2 linked regions of the Oryctolagus cuniculus genome follow. The protein of the gene in region 1 interacts with the protein of each later gene in a pairwise test. Links are inferred from orthologs where the notes say so. Each region holds a gene or a part of one and is shown on either strand. Other genes may lie near its edges.

The links. The genes of interacting proteins can lie anywhere in the genome.
Region 2: the proteins of PTPN6 (region 1) and LAIR1 interact in binary tests that used the Homo sapiens proteins (3 or more experiments, as listed by UniProt). The link is inferred for Oryctolagus cuniculus from reciprocal best matches to the Homo sapiens genes PTPN6 and LAIR1.

Annotation. Positions count from the first base shown.
Region 1 is NC_091440.1:102,598,261-102,602,005, reverse strand, and holds the start of PTPN6 (tyrosine-protein phosphatase non-receptor type 6), read left to right. Parts: upstream 1-1,217; 5' UTR 1,218-1,414; coding exon 1,415-1,428; intron 1,429-3,745. Other genes in the region: C9H12orf57 (protein C10), read left to right, coding at 475-626. UniProt on the Homo sapiens protein: Tyrosine phosphatase enzyme that plays important roles in controlling immune signaling pathways and fundamental physiological processes such as hematopoiesis.
Region 2 is NC_091449.1:4,209,789-4,213,533, forward strand, and holds the start of LAIR1 (leukocyte-associated immunoglobulin-like receptor 1), read right to left. Parts: upstream 2,397-3,745; 5' UTR 2,278-2,396; intron 218-2,277; exon of another isoform or gene 60-217; 5' UTR 1-59. UniProt on the Homo sapiens protein: Functions as an inhibitory receptor that plays a constitutive negative regulatory role on cytolytic function of natural killer (NK) cells, B-cells and T-cells.

The sequences.
Region 1 (3,745 bases):
TCAGTTGTGTCCATGGTAAGCCAGGAAGTGGTTGATCTAAACCAGGCAGGAAGGGCCAGCCTTGTGGCGCAGCAGGTTAAGCCAGCTGCTTGGGATACTGTTTCTAATCCAGCTTCCTGCCACTGCACCTAGGAAGCAGCAGACAATGGATGGTCCGAGTATTTGGGCCCCTGCTACCCACAGGGAACATTTGGATGGAGCTCTGGGCTCCTGGCTTCTGCCTGGGTCAGCCTCTGCTACTGTGGCTGTTTGGGGGAGTGAACCTTCCGGCGAAGAGCTGTCCCTGCCCCCTCTCTCTGTCAAATAAATAAATCTTTAAACCCAGAAATAAACCATGCCGGATTGAGGCCTGCATGCACCCTGTTTTGCAGACACTACCTAGCTTGAGGGGGAGCAGCCAGTAGCACAAGCTCAAGCCACCTCCCCATTCTGCAGTCTGGGGCCTGTGGGCTGACTATCCACTCTCTCTTGCAGGTGTCCTTAAGTTTGCCCGCTTGGTCAAGTCCTACGAAGCACAGGATCCCGAGATTGCCAGCCTGTCTGGCAAGCTGAAAGCTCTGTTCCTGCCGCCCATGACGCTGCCGCCTCATGGGCCGGCTTCCGGCAGCAGCGTGGCTGCCTCCTGAGAATCGGGCTGCCCTGGGCCCTGCTGGGAAAGGGAAGAGTGCTCCAGAAGATAATAAATGCACCTCTGACTTGGCCTTGGTCTCAGTCTCTTGTGGTCCTGATGGTGTTCACCCCACGCCCCAGGTGCCCTCTGCCTTTCCACCTGCCCAGGCTGCCCCGGCCCCCTACCCAGAGCTTCCCACACCTGCTGCTGCAGTGAGGGCCCAAGGCTCTCCACCCTCCCCCACCCCCGGGCAAGGTGAGAGGCTGGAAAAGTCCCTCAACACCCTGGGTGGGTGCGCCTGCACAGATGCCACTCCTGTCTGAGCACCTGGGCTTCCAGGGCTCTGCCTTAGGCCCCTGGGTTTTCCGCGGACGGAGCCGGCCCCTCATTGGTCAGGCTTTGCTTGGCCAGGGTTACTTCCTGGTCTTTGCCCCTCCCTGTCCTCCTGCTGCTCTCCGCCCGGGCTCCAGGTGGAGCTGCAAGTGGCTCCTCCCCTCCCAAGGGAAGGAGGCCCTGGCCCAGGCAGGCAGCCCCGCTCCGCAGTCCAGCAGGCCTGCCGGGGGAAGCAGGATGCCCGGGGCGGTCTCAGGCCAGCCCCGCCCCACCTATCTTTTACCCAGAGACCAGTAGTCCAGGGGCTCGTCCCTGCAGTTCCATTGGCCTGGCGGTCTGGATCAAGGAAGAAGTGGCCGGGTTCGCAGCGTGCCTTCTCACCTGACCTGGGCCGCTGCACACGGCTGTGCCCCTGGCTCGGCCCTGCCCCCCTGTGGCCATCTGCCTGTCGCTCCCCCATCCTCCAGGGAGATGCTGTCCCGTGGGTAAGTCCCCAGCACCACCTGGGTCCCACAGTCTCCTGGTTGTTGGTGGGGGGCGTTGTTCCTGCTCATTTGCAGATGTGAGAGTGAGCGTTGAATGCTGTTGCCCTGCTCTGGGTCCCAGGCTCATTCATATTCTGCTCCCTTATTCTTGAGCACTTACACCCCCCCCCCCACACAGACGGGTATCTGTTGTCCCCACTGCATTTCTACCTCCAGCCTCCCATCCCCTGCTTCTGCCTCCTGCCTAGGACCTGTCCCCCCTGCTAGCGCACATCACCTTGAACCTGAGTCCTAAAGCTCCCAGCTTCCACTTCCCCTCACTTCCCAATGTCTGGTCTGGGTTCCATTCATTGCTTCCACTCGTCCTGCTTCATTCGTTTAACAGATACGTGCGGGACATCAGGTGCTGTTTAGGATGCTGATAATCCTGGCAGGAGCAGGACAGATAGTACCTGCTCTCATGGAGCTTACCTTCCACTGGGCGGTGACGAAGCCAATAACTCAGTCCATAGGATAACTTCATGTTCTCACAAGTGTTACATGGACATGTATAGCTAGCTAGTGGCTGGTTCTGGTGACACTGCCAGCTGGAGGAGTCAGGGAGGGCTTCCTGGGGAGGTGACATTTGAGCTGAGACCTGCAGGAGGAGGAGGCAGCCATGTGGTGATCAAAGCCCTGATGTGGGGACAGATGAGCAAAGGCCACTGTGGGAGGGCAGCAGGGGAACCCAGTGGGGAGGAGGCAGGGCCGGGCAGAGTGACCCCACAGGAACTGGGATGTTATAAAGGAGCACCTCCCTAGGAAGTGCTGGTGAGGCTGTGGGTCACTTGGCCTCCTCTTCTCACTCCTATGCCCCTTCCTTTCTGTGCACGCTGCCTCCCTCTATGCACAGGGGTTCACACCCCCCCCACCCCCACACTCAGCCCCATCAATCTCACTCATGAGATTCTTTTTTTTCCTAAAGATTTATTTATTAGGGCTGGCACCGTGGTGTAATGGGCTAAGCCTCTGCCTGCAGCGCCAGCATCCCCTATGAGCACCAGTTTGTGTCCCGGCTGCTCCTCTTCTGATCCAGCCTCTTTACTATGGCCTGGGAAAGCATTGGAAGATGGCCCAGGTCCTGGGGTCCCTGCACCCATGTGGGAGACCCGGAAGAAGCTCCTGGCTCCTGACTTCAGATCGGCACAGCTCTGGCCATTGCGGCCATCTGGGGAGTGAACCAACAGATGAAAGAGCTCTCTCTCTCTGACTGCCTCTCTGTAACTCTGCCTTTCAAAGAAATAAATAAATCTTAAAAAAAAAAAAGGGGGGGGGGAGAGAGATTCGTTTAAAAAAAATGCTTTGGGTGGGGCTGGTGCCATGGCACAGAAGGTTAATCCAACACCTCCGGCACTGGCATCCCATATGGGTGCTGGTTCTGGTCCTGGCTGCTCCTCTTCCCATCCAGCTCTCTGCTATGGCCTGGGAAAGCAGTGGAAGATGGCCCAAGTGCTTGGGACCCTGCACCCATGTGGGAGACCTGGAAGAAGCTCCTGGCTCCTGGCTTTGGATTGGCGCAGCTCTGGCCATTGTGGCCATTTGGGGAGTGAACCAATGGAAGGAAGACCTTTCCGTCTCTTCTTCTCACTGTGTTTAACTCTACCTTTCAAATAAATAAATAAAATCTTAAAAAAAAATGTTTTGGGGGCCAGCGCTGTGGTGTAGTCAGTAAAGCCACCACCTGGGATGCCAGCATCCCATATGGATGCTGGTTCGAGTCCTGGCTGCTCCAGTCTGATCCAGCTCCCTGCTAATGCACCTGGGGAAGCAGTAGAGGATGGCCCAAGTGCTTGGGCCCCTGGACCCATGTGGGAGACCTGGAAGAAGACCCTGACTCCTGGCTTCAGCCTGGCCCAGCTCCTGCCATTTTGGCTATTTGAGGAATGAACCAGCAAATGGGAGATCTCTCTCTGTCTCTCCTTCTCTCTCTCTCCTTCTCTCTTTCTCTGTAACTCTGCCTTTCAAATAAATAAATACATCTTTATAAATTTTTTTTGACAGGCAGAGTGGACAGTGAGAGAGAGAGAGAGAGAGAGAGAGGTCTTCCTTTTGCCATTGGGTCACCCTCCAGTGGCCACTGCGGCCGGTGTGCATTGTGCTGATCCGAAGCCAGGAGCCAGGTGCTTCTCCTGGTCTCCCATGGGGTGCAGGGCCCAAGCACTTGGGCCATCCTCCACTGCACTCCCTGGCCACAGCAGAGAGCTGGCCTGGAAGAGGGGCAACTGGGACAGAATCCAGTGCCCTGACCGGGACTAGAACCCGGTGTGCCAGTGTCACA
Region 2 (3,745 bases), on another chromosome or scaffold:
TCGGGAAGGTGGTGCCCGTCCCTGGGCTCTGAGGACACTCAGCCGACCTTGCTCTGCACCTACGGGACGGGGCAGGTTAAAGGCTGGGCTACAGGCTGGCTGTCTGTTCTGGGAACGGACACTTCCCCACGTTTAAAGTAGGAACCCCCGCAAGTGCTGACTACGCTGGTCTGTGGTAGAACCCCCACCAGGCGGGAGAGTACAGCGAGCACGGTGCTGGGGGCAGGGGACACGGGGTGGGGGGGGCGTGCCATCACTACGGAAGCCTGCACGTGGGCTTTGCACACTGTGGGTGAGAATGCAAGTTTGCACAGTCACTGTGGGAACAGTGTGGGGCTTCCTTAAAGAACAAGAGCCAGGACGGCCTGTGACCCAGCAGCCCCGTTCCTGGGTACAAACCCAGAAGAACAGGGACTCACTGCTGCCGTCCCAGCTGTCCCAGCTGTCCCAGCTCTGTTCACGGCAGCCAAGACACAGAGTCAGCCCAGGTGCCCAGCCTAGGATGAGTGGATGAGACAATGCGGTGCACATACACAACGGAATAAAAAGAGCGAAACCTGACGTTTGCAGCAAAATGGCTGGAAGCGGAAGACATCATGTTGAGTGAGATAAACCAGACACAGAAAGACAAACACTGCATGTTCTCCCTTCTATGTGGGAGCTCAAAAAAAAAAACGAAATAAAACCAAACAAAACACCTCAATCTGAACCCAGAATGGTGATTACCAGAGGCTGGGAGGGGTAGGAGGGACAGTGGGAGTTTGGAAAGTGGGTACCAGATCAGATTTAGGTAGAAGGAGTACACTCCTAGTTACCCAGCATAGTGGGGCCCACGGTTCACATTAACCTCGCGTATAGTCTACGGACAAACAGAAGAAAGAAATCCAAGCCTGCACTCGCGAACTGATGTGGAACATGTTGGCTACCCTGATTTGATCAGCGCACGCTGGGGATGTGAACTGAAATGTCACCTGGTAGCCCTTACACCTGTACAATTATTGTGAAGAAAACAATTTTTAAGAAAGTATGTGTTGGCCGGTGCCACGGCTCACTAGGCTAATCCTCCTCCTTGCAGCGCCAGCACATCAGGTTCTAGTCCCGGTCGGGGCGCCGGATTCTGTCCTGGTTGCCCCTTTTCCAGGCCAGCTCTCTGCTGTGGCCAGGGAGTGCAGTGGAGGATGGCCCAAGTGCTTGTGCCCTGCACCCCATGGGAGACCAGGAGAAGTACCTGGCTCCTGGCTTCGGATCAGCGCGCTGGCCACGGCGGCCATTGGAGGGTGAACCAACGGCAAAGGAAGACCTTTCTCTCTGTCTCTCTCTCACTGTCTACTCTGCCTGTCAAAAAAAAAAAAAAAGTATATGGGGGCTGGCACCGTGGTGTAGTGGATAAAGCTGCTGCCTGTGGAGCCAGAATCCCATATGGGCACCGGTTTGAGTCCCGGCTGCTCCACTTCCAATCCAGCTCTCTGCTGTGGCCTGGGAAAGCAGTGGAAGATGGCCCAAGTGCTTGGGCCCCTGCACCCACATGGGAGACCCAGAAGAAGCTCTTGGCTCCTGGCTTCGGATTGGCCCAACTCCAACTGTTGCAGCCATCTGCGGAGTGAACCAGGGGATGGAAGACCTCTCTCTAACTTTTACAAATAAATAATCTTAAAAAAAAGAAAGTATGTACTCAAATGTTGCACTGCAGACATAAGTATATGTTAATAAAAATCCTTTGAATGGCGAAATTAGCCACACACACACAAAGAGTTAGACATGGAGCCATTCTGTGACCCTGCAAGCCCACTGCTGGATGTGGACCAAGGCCATGGACTTGGTGTGCAGCAGAGACGCCTGCCCTCCCCTGCCCACCACAGCTGTGCTCACAAGAGCTGGAAGTGCCCGAGTGTCCACAGACGCACGAGCGGACAGTGTGGTGGGCACACGCAGTGGGGTGCTGCACAGCCTAGGAAGGAATCCACGCGTGGGACACGGATGGGCCTCGAGCACAGGTTCTGTGTGAAATGGGCCAGCCGCGGACACACAAGCGCCACGTGTGTCCCACCCACAGGACAAGTTCACAGACCAAAGGCTGCGGAGCTGGGTGCCAGGGCAGGGGTGACCAAAGGCACACGTTTTCAGTTAGGCGAGGTGAGTCCACTGTGCAGAACCGGGCCCACAGTCACCGTGAAACATCGCCCAGCAACACTGCTTCAGTCATTAATCTTCGTCTATTTGAAAGGCAGAGAGAGAGAGAGAGAGAGACAGAGATCCACGGGCTCGCTCCCTCAATACCTGCAACAGCTGGGGCTGGGCCAGGCCGAAGCCAGGATCCCAGCACCCAGTCTGGGTCTCCCACGTAGGGGGCAGGGATCCAACCACGTGGGCCACCACCACTGCCTCCTGAGATGATCCGCAGGAAGTTGGAAGTGGAGGTGTAGCTGCAACTGGAAGCCAGGCCCTGGTGGGCGTGGCAACTGGAAGCCAGGCCCTGGTGGGCGTGGCTGTCTTCACCACCGCACCAAATACCCCACCCGTGGAGGCCGTGGACGCTTACCGTTTCTTAAGAGGACAGCTCTCATGCTAATGCTGTCGTCTTGTACCCGTAGGGGTCTGTCTGTCATCTGTCTGTCTATAATCTCTATCTTGGGCTAACATGAGCTATCTCCCATCTCCCCCAGCATCCTGTGGAAGCGGGCAGGGGTGGGGTGGCCCAACAGCATATGCAAAACCCCAACGGTATAGCTCGATCAGGAGACCAGACTTGGGACTGGCCTGCGGCCTGGGCAGACGGGCACCTGGCCGCACTGGGAATGCACCTGTGCACACAGAGCCCCGAGGCAGGCCCCGCTTCCCAGCTTCTCGAATCCACTGCTCTGAGGACAGCGAGGCGCTATCGGTCTCCTGGATCAGGTGTCAGCGGCAGATGGCAGATGTCCGCTGCCCCCTCCTTCCTGACAGAAACTGGGCTCTGTCTGTGTGGCCGTCGTGTTCCAGGCACAGGAAGGAAGCGGGGCTGGTGTTACTGGCATCTGGCAATCCCCTCTGGTTCAGTGCGGGGCACTTGAGCAAGCGCAGCTGGTGACCACACCGACGGCAGAATGTTCCGGGGCTCTGGCATCCTGTTTCTTTGTTAGTAACAGGGGTTTCATAGGAGAAGGTTGCCCTCCTGTCCTCTGCCAGCAGCCACGGTCACGCCCTGCTCCCTGGGAAACGCACGCATGGCTTCTCTCCAGTGGCAACGTGTGTCCTGCCTCCTAAGAGTGTGGACTGGACTTCCCGTCGGCTCCTTACATGGGCGTGAAAGGGCCCCCGTTCTCTCGGTGTGCGCCCGGCTCCTGCTGCTCAGCCAGTGTCCGTGAGGTGTATACCCACTAACGCACGTAGCTGTGTAGCCCACCAGTCCCAGGCTTGCAGGGCTCTGGGGTGTGAGCGATCGCACCATATTTACCCCTTCTAGGACTCCCAGGTGCTTGCTTAGTAGTTTGTGCTGTCACACACAGCACGGCCCTGAGTGCAGCAGTGGCAAATGCCAGGTCTCTGGGTCTCCACGTGGGTGTGATGGCAGCTGCCCTTACTCCTCACCACCACGGGCTGGGACTTCGTCCTCAGTCCTGGGCACGTACAGCCCCAGGATCTCCCTGCAGCTAGGGCACAATGCCTGATGGGCTCGGCTGTGGGTCCTGGGGAAGCCCCTGGAGATGAGGCCACCCCCGGTGGGCACCTCTGTAGGGAGGTGAGCAGATCCGCCAGGAGCAGGAGC